Linked DNA regions of Callithrix jacchus. The protein of the gene in region 1 interacts with the protein of each later gene in a pairwise test. Links are inferred from orthologs where the notes say so. Each region holds a gene or a part of one and is shown in the gene's direction. Other genes may lie near its edges.

Region 1 (3,816 bases):
ACTTTTTATCTAGACTATTGCAGTCCCCCATCCCCAATTCTCTGCCTTTTTTCTTTCATCAGTTTTAGATAAAGCAGTTTTTATTACCAAGTAGAAATGATTCTTGAACAGTGGAGATAGCTGTGTTTTGAAGTTTTTTAACTTTTCAATGGAAGAGAGTTATGAATTTTCGTTTCTAGGTAGATCATTACCATTCTCTTAAGGGTAACACAGTAATTCAGTGTTTCAGAATATTGGATTCCCTTTATTGAATATATTTTTTTGTCATTCTCTTTAATAGTAAAAACAATATATTGCGTAGGTTTTATTACAGAAGTAATACACACTTATTATTGAGGGGCACAAGGAAACTTTTGGGGGTTTTGGATATATGTGTTGACTATCTTGATTGTGATGATTTTATGAGAATATAAGTGCGTATATCAAAACTTACCAAATTGTATAATGTAAACAAATAAGTGCTGTTTATTATTTGACGGTTATATCACAATAAAACTGCTTAATTTTTTTTGCTGATTTGATGACTAAAACTTGGACTTACTTCCTGTTTTTTTGAGACAGTTGCCCAGGCTGGAGTGCAATGGCAGGATCTCAACTCACCACAACCACTGCTACGCCACCCAGGTTCAAGCAGTTCTCCTGCCTCAGCCTCCCGAGTAGCTGGGATTACAGGCATGCGCTACCATGCCCGGTTAATTTTGTATTTTTAGTAGAGATGGGGTTTCTCCCATGTTGGTCAGACTGTTCAAACTCCCGACCTCAAGTGATCCTCCCACCTTGGCCTCCCAAACTACTGGGATTACAGGCGTGAGCCACTGCACCCAGCCTATGCAGTGAGAGAATGTTCGGATAATTCCATTTACTCACTTTAAAACTAGTTAGGTAAGAAGGATTCAGAGTCACTTTTTGTTTTTCTCATTGTTTGTTTTAGGGTAACCAGGAGCCAACAACAACTCCTGACGCGATGGTTCAGCCTTTTACTACCATCCCATTTCCACCACCTCCGCAGAATGGAATTCCCACAGAATATGGGGTGCCACACACTCAAGACTATGCCGGCCAGACCGGTGAGCATGACCTGACACTCTACGGAAGTACGCAAGCCCATGGGGAGCAGAGCAGCAACTCACCCAGCACACAAAATGGATCTCTTACGGTATGTGAACTATGAGGTGAAAAACAGACGGATGCCTGGCAATCATATGGAAATTTTTACCTTAGTTTTACAACTAGAAAACTCTCTACATTAATTCAGCATTTATACCTGTTCTCGTTTACACCTTCTCTCAGCAGCATTGTATACATTATCCTTTCTCCTCCTAGAAATACTTTGTCTTTTGGCTTTTCATGCTGTCCCGGTTTTCCTGCCAAGCACTGGCTCTTCTGCTGCTGCCTCTTTCTCTGTTCAGCTCCTGGAACCCCTTTTCTTCTTATTTTACATCCTTTCTCTACATAATTATACTACCAAGCTTAGTTGCTCAAGAAAAACCTAGGAATAGTCTTTATTTCTTTCATCTTCACATCTAATTGACTAGCAAGTCTTGATAACCGTAACTCTAAAACTACTTCACCTTCTCTACATCTTACTACTCTTCCACCAGATTGTTTGTTTGAATCTTAGTATGGCCCCTACTAAAGTGTTTGACCTTGGACCAGTTATTTAATCTCTCTTTGCCCTTGGCTCACTCTAAAATGAAGATAATAGTACCTACCTGAAGAGGCTGTTAGGAAATTTAAAAGAATTTATCCTCATCACCATTCTAGTCCAAACCTCATCACTTATTTCCGGGATTACTGCTGCCTAACTTGTCTATCCTTCACTGTAGCACTAAGATAGTTTTGGGTTTTTTTTAATGCAAATTTTGCCGATTTCCTACTTAACTATTAATCGTTCGCTAATGCAATTAGAATAAAATTCAAACTCTGTACTTGGTTTATTTACTAGTCTCTAGCCCCAGCTTATCTCTTTGACCTCACCTTTTACTACTAACTTGCTAAAGTAAAGGAAATGTCATAAATTAATAATAGGTGTATATTTCATATCAACATAAGGATAATTGTATTGTCTCTTGCTTTGTCACCCAGGCTGGAGTGCAATGGCATGAACATAGCTCACTGCAACCTCAGTCTCCTGGGCTCAAGTGATTCTCCTGCCTCAGCCTCCCGTGTAGCTGGAACTACAAGCATATACCACCACACCCAGCTCATTTTTTATTGTTTAGAGACAGGGTCTTCTTTTGTTGCTCAGGCTTATTATGGACTCCTGTCATGCAATTCTCCTACCATGGTCTCCACAAGTGCTGCAATTAGAGGCATGAGCCACAACGCCCAGCCTTGTGTGGTATATTTCTAAAGATAGAAATGTTCTATAATCTGCATAGAAAGACCTAGCTCTGTTTATGGTTTTTTCACCATTTTCAGTGATCTTCATATCTTCTATAGGTCCAAGTTGTTATCCAGTGTCATTTGCTTTCAGTCCAAAGGACTTCTTTTAGTATTTTCTTTAGAGTAGACCAGCTGGAAACAAATAGTCCGTTTTTGTTTATATGGGAATGTTGTTTTTTTGTGTGTTCAGTTTTGAATGATAGTTTTGTTAGCTATAGAATTCTTGGTTGACAGTTTCTTCCTCCATACCCCATCCTTTAAATATGTCATCCCCTGGACCACTCGCATGGGAGTCAGCTCATTCTAATGAGAAGTCAGCTGTTAATCCTATTGTTAGTCCTCCTGTAGGTAATGAGTTGTTTTTCTCTTGCTGATTTCAAGATTTTCTGTTTGTCTTTGGCTTTAAGCAGTTTCTCTATGATGTGTCTAGGAGTGGATCTCTTTGTTTTTATCATACTTGGGTTTTCTTGAGATTTTGAAATCTGTATTCATCAAATTTGGGATGTTTTTGACTATACTTCATATATATTTTTTCCTTTCTTCTCTTTTCTTGGTCCTCTCATTACACATAAATTTTTTTTCCCCCAAGACAAAGTCTTGCTCTGTTGTCCAGGCTGGAGTGCAGTGGTACAATCTCGGCTCACTGCAACCTCTGCCTCCCAGGTTCAAGCAATTCTCCTGCCTCAGCTTCTCAAGTAGCTGGGATTACAGGCATGTGCCACCACACTTGGCTCATTTTTATATTTTTAGCAGAGATGGGGTTTCACCATGTTGGCCAGGTTGGTCTCAAACTCCTGATCTCATGATTTGCCTGCCTTGACCTCCCAAAGTGCTGGTATTACAGGTGTGAGCCACTGTGCCTAGCTAACACATAAACTGAAACACTTGGTGTTCTCCCATAGGGTTTTTTGTTTCTTTAAAAAATTCAATCTGAACCTAAACATAATCTGAAGTTCTATTCATTTTTCTTTGATCTTTTTTCCTTCTGTTCTTTAGATTGGATAATTTCAGGTGATCTCTTTTTCAGTTGACTCCTTCTTTGTTCTGCCATTTGAAATCTGCTGCTCAGCCCATCTAGTTATTTTTTTATTTCAGTTATTACATTTTTCAACTCTGGAATTTCCATTTATATTTTTCTACTTAGATTTCTTCTCATATCTTTTTAAATTTTGTTTTTTTTTTGAGATAGGGTCTCACTTTGTCACCTAGGCTGAAGGGCAGTGGTGCAATCTCAGCTCACTGCAGCTTTGACCTCCTGGCACAAGTGATCCTCCCACCTCAGCCTCCTGAGTAGCTGGTACTACAGGCACGTGCAACCATACCAGCTAACTTTTGTATTTTTTGTAGAGACAGGGTCTCACTATGTTACTCAGGCTGGTCTTGAACTCCTGGGCTCAAGCAGTTCTCTTGCCTCAGCCTCCCAAAGTGCTG
Region 2 (4,279 bases), on another chromosome or scaffold:
TTGGGGTGAGCCGAGATCATGCCATTGCACTCCAGTCTGGGTATCAACAGTGAAACTCCGTCTCAAAACAAACAAAAAAAGTCCAAAAATTAGCTGGCCGTGGTGGCACACACCTGTAATCCCAGCTACTCAGGAGGCTGAGGCAAGAGAATTGCTTGAACCCAGGAGGTGGAGGTTGCAGTGAGCTGAAATCACACCACTGCACTGCAGCCTGAGCGACAAGAGCAAGACTCCGTCTCTAAATAAATACATACAAAAATACATACATACATACATACATACATACAATAGCTGGGCATGGTGGCTAATGCCTGTAATCCCAGCACTTTGGGAAGCTGAGGCGGGCGGATCACCTGAGGTCTGAAGTTCAAAACCGGCCTGGCCAACATGGTGAAACCCCGTGTCCTCTAAAAACACAAAAATGAGCCAGGCGTGGTGACACCCTCCTATAATCCCAGCTGCTCGGGAGGCTGAGGCAAGAGTATAGCTTGAACCTGGAAGGTGCATGTTGCAATAAACCGAGACGGCACCACTCCACTGCAGCCTGGGCAACAGAGCGAGACTCTTATCTCAAAATTAATTAATTAAAATAAAAAATAAGAGAAGCATAGATCAGGTGAAATCCAGATGTGTCGAATATTGATAGCGTTTGAGAGGTACTTAAGAGTTTGTTATACTAGTCCCTCTAATGTGCATGTTTGAAAATATTCAGAATAAAACACTTTGAGGGCTACGGGGAAGAAAAAAAAAGAGGGGTCAGCTGTGTCCCAAGAAAGGACAGGGACCAAGCCCACGCACGTGCCCCTCTGCGTTGCACTAGTGTGGGCCTTGGCTCCCACCCTGAATATCTCGTCTCATCTTCAAATGTCTTCAGATGTCCTCCGCCAGGAAGCTCGGGTCAGGCGCTTCCTCCCGGGCATCTCTAGTCTTCATGGGAACCACAGGTCGAGTGTCAACCTACCCCAGGGTAGGAGCCCCCAGCCCTCAGCCCCAGACCCCAGCTAGGCCTCCCAGCCTTGCCCAACCCTGAGGTTGACGCGGACTTCAGCGTCTTTTAAAACTTCCAGCGCGGGCTTCGCGGTGGCACAGGAGGGGCCTCCGAACTTTCCTGCGTTCTCAAAGGTCCAGATTCCACATTGGGGACGGGACCAACTGACTTTGCTTTGCTCTCATTAGCCTGTGTTCCTCCAGGAAGGCGAGACCGCCTATCTTCACTGCGCTCTCATAGGCCCAGGTTCTTGCGTTTGTTTGTCATTCTCTCACTCTCATTGGCCTGGATTCCCCCTGAGGGTGTGGCCAGGTCTCATTGGCCCTCGCGCCCGGATTTATGACGTCATGTGTCAGCGCCCGTCGCTTTTGCTGGACGTCATCCTCGGTGAGCCCACCCTGACGAAGGAGGAGAGTAGACAGCAGAACCGGCGGCGGCGGCGGCGTCTAGGCTGAGACAGTAGTAGCGGCGACAGCGACGGCGGCAGCGATGGCTGGGGCGGGGCCAGCCCCGGGACTCCCGGGTGCAGGAGGACCCGTGGTCCCGGGCCCTGGCACTGGCATCCCGGGCAAGAGCGGCGAGGAACGCTTGAAGGAAATGGAGGCGGAGATGGCCCTGTAAGGCCCACGACAGGGAGAGATAAAAGTCGTCCCAGAGCCAGAGCCTCCGAATCCCGGAGCCTCCAGGCCTCGATTGGCCAGAGATGCGCTCTAACGTGGGGAAATGGGACCTTCGGGATTGTGGGGGTGGGGATAGGGGAGAGGTTGGCAGGGGTGACGGTCCCCGCGAAGTATACCCAGAGTTCCAAAATTGGTACGAGATCCTGAGCTCTGGTGTCTGTTCTATTCCTCCAGGTTTGAGCAGGAAGTTCTAGGGGCTCCAGTACCCGGAATCCCAACTGCTGTGCCTGCAGTGCCCACGGTCCCCACGGTAGAAGCGATGCAGGTCCCAGCGGCTCCTGTGATCCGCCCAATTATCGCGACAAACACATACCAGCAGGTACGGTTGAGCTAAGGCATATAAGTCAGGGAACACAATATCTCTAACACAGTAGGTGTTTGTGTACAGAGAGCTGTTGACGTTTTGGTTTGTTGACTAATTAGCATGACAAATATTTTGTGTGTCAGGCACTGAGAACACAGTAATGACTGAGACAGACATTTCTGCCCTTTGGGAGCTTATATTCTAGAGCATGCTGTCCCGTAGAGCTTTCTGCAATAACGGAAATGTTCTGATATATTTAAAATTTATATTTAATAGTTCCTTATTCCCAGTCACATTTCAAGTGCTCAATAGCCAACCATATATGAATAGTAGAGAAGAAGAGATAAATTATTATGATGAAAACAGGCTGGACACGCCTGTAATCCCAGCATTTTGGGAGGCCAAGGCAGGAAGATCGCTGGAGGCCAGGAGTCAGCCTGGGCAACACAGATCCTCTCTCTCCAAAAAAAAAAAGAAAAGGCAGAAAAATTAGCCAGGCCTCGTGGCACAAGCCTGTAGTCAGGGCTACTGGGGAGACTGAGGTAGGAGGATTGTTTGAGCCCAGGAGTTCAAGACTGCAGTGAGCTATGATCATGCAGCTGCACCCCAGCCTGGGTGACAGAGTAAAACCTAGTCTCTGCAAAAAATTCAAGTTAAAAAATGAAAATGAGCAAATGAAACTTGATCATTCTGTCAACAAATAATTATCAGGTGCCTTTTATGCACCAGTCATTATTCTAGGCATTCAGCATTATAGCCAAGTACAAAACAAAAATAATCACTGTATTTTTGGGGCCTGTAATCCCAGCACTTTGGGAGGCTGAGGTGGGCGGATTGCTTGAGGTCAGGAGTTGGAGACCAGCCTGGCCTACCTAGTGAAATATGGTTTCCACTAAAAAAATAGAAAAATTGGCCAGGACGGGTGGCTCACACCTGTAACCCCAGCACTTTGGGAGACTGAGGTGGTTGGATCACAAGGTCAAGAGATCAAGATCATCCTGGCCAATATGGTGAAACCCCATCTCTACTGAAAACAAAAAAAATTAGCTGGACGTGGTGGCGCGCACCTGTAGTCCAGCTACTTGGGAAGCTGAGGCAGGAGAATTGCTTGAACCTTTGAGGAAGAGGTTGCAGTGAGCTGAGATCATGCCACTGCACTCCAGCCTGGCAATAGAGCAAGACTCCGTCTCAAAAAAAAAAAAGAAAGAAAAAAAAAAAAAAATTAGCCAGGCCTGGTAGCACACGCCTGTAATCCCAGCTACTTGGGAGGCTGAGGCGGAAGGATCGCTTGAACCTGGGAGGCAGAGGTTGCAGTGAGCTGAGATCACACCACTGTGTTCTAGCCTGGTCAACAGAGTGAAACTCAATCTCAAAATAAATAAATAAATAAAAGTATGTTAAGAAGGATGGAAGTTCCTTAGCACAGACACAGAAGTCCTTTCTGAGGAAATCACATTTAAGCAAAGATACAAAGGAGACATGGAGGGAACCATGCAGATGTCTGGGGGAAGAGCACTCCCAGCAGAGAACTACCAATGCAAAGGTCCTGAGGTGGCCGGCGTGGTGGCTCACGCCTGTAATCCAGCACTTTGGGAGGCTGAGACGGGTGGATCACAAGGTCAAGAGATCGAGACAATCCTGGCCAACATGGTGAAATCCCATCTTTACTAAAAATACAAAAATTAGCTGGGCATGGTGGCACTTACTTGTATTCCCAGCTGCAAGAGAGGCTAGGGCAGGAAAACCGCTTGAACCTGGGAGGCGAAGGTTGCAGTGAGCCGAGATCACACCACTGCACTCCAGTCTGGTGACAGAGTGAGACTCTGTCTCAAAAAAAAAAAAATTTTAAAAAAAAGGACCCGGCCGGGCTCGGTGGCTCAAGCCTGTAATCCCAGCACTTTGGGAGGCCGAGGCAGGTGGATCACGAGGTCAAGAGATCGAGACCATCCTGGTCAACATAGTGAAACTCCGTCTCTACTAAGAATACAAAAAATTAGCTGGGCACGGTGGCGCGTGCCTGTAATCCCAGCTACTCAGGAGGCTGAGGCAGGAGAATTGCCTGAACCCAGGAGGCGGAGGTTGCGGTGAGCCAAGATTGCGGCATTGCACTCCAGCCTGGGTAACAAGAGCAAAACTCCATCTCAAAAAAAAAAGGACCCTGGCTTGTGTTGTGAGATTGGGAGCTGTTGGAAGATTTTGAGCAGAAAGATAATGTGGTCCAGCTTTGAGGTTAACAGCGTAGCTCTGGATGTGTAAGAATAGACGGTAAGCGGGCGTGATGGCTCACACATGTAATCTCAACATTTT

Evidence for each region.
Region 2: the proteins of RBFOX2 (region 1) and RBM42 interact in a two-hybrid assay, tested with the Homo sapiens proteins (2 studies listed by BioGRID and IntAct). The link is inferred for Callithrix jacchus from reciprocal best matches to the Homo sapiens genes RBFOX2 and RBM42.

Annotation. Positions count from the first base shown.
Region 1 is NC_133502.1:206,672,350-206,676,165, reverse strand, and holds part of RBFOX2 (RNA binding protein fox-1 homolog 2), read left to right. Parts: intron 1-931; coding exon 932-1,156; intron 1,157-3,816. UniProt on the Homo sapiens protein: RNA-binding protein that regulates alternative splicing events by binding to 5'-UGCAUGU-3' elements. Prevents binding of U2AF2 to the 3'-splice site.
Region 2 is NC_133523.1:31,829,275-31,833,553, forward strand, and holds the start of RBM42 (RNA-binding protein 42), read left to right. Parts: upstream 1-1,352; 5' UTR 1,353-1,477; coding exon 1,478-1,605; intron 1,606-1,842; coding exon 1,843-1,987; intron 1,988-4,279. UniProt on the Homo sapiens protein: Binds (via the RRM domain) to the 3'-untranslated region (UTR) of CDKN1A mRNA.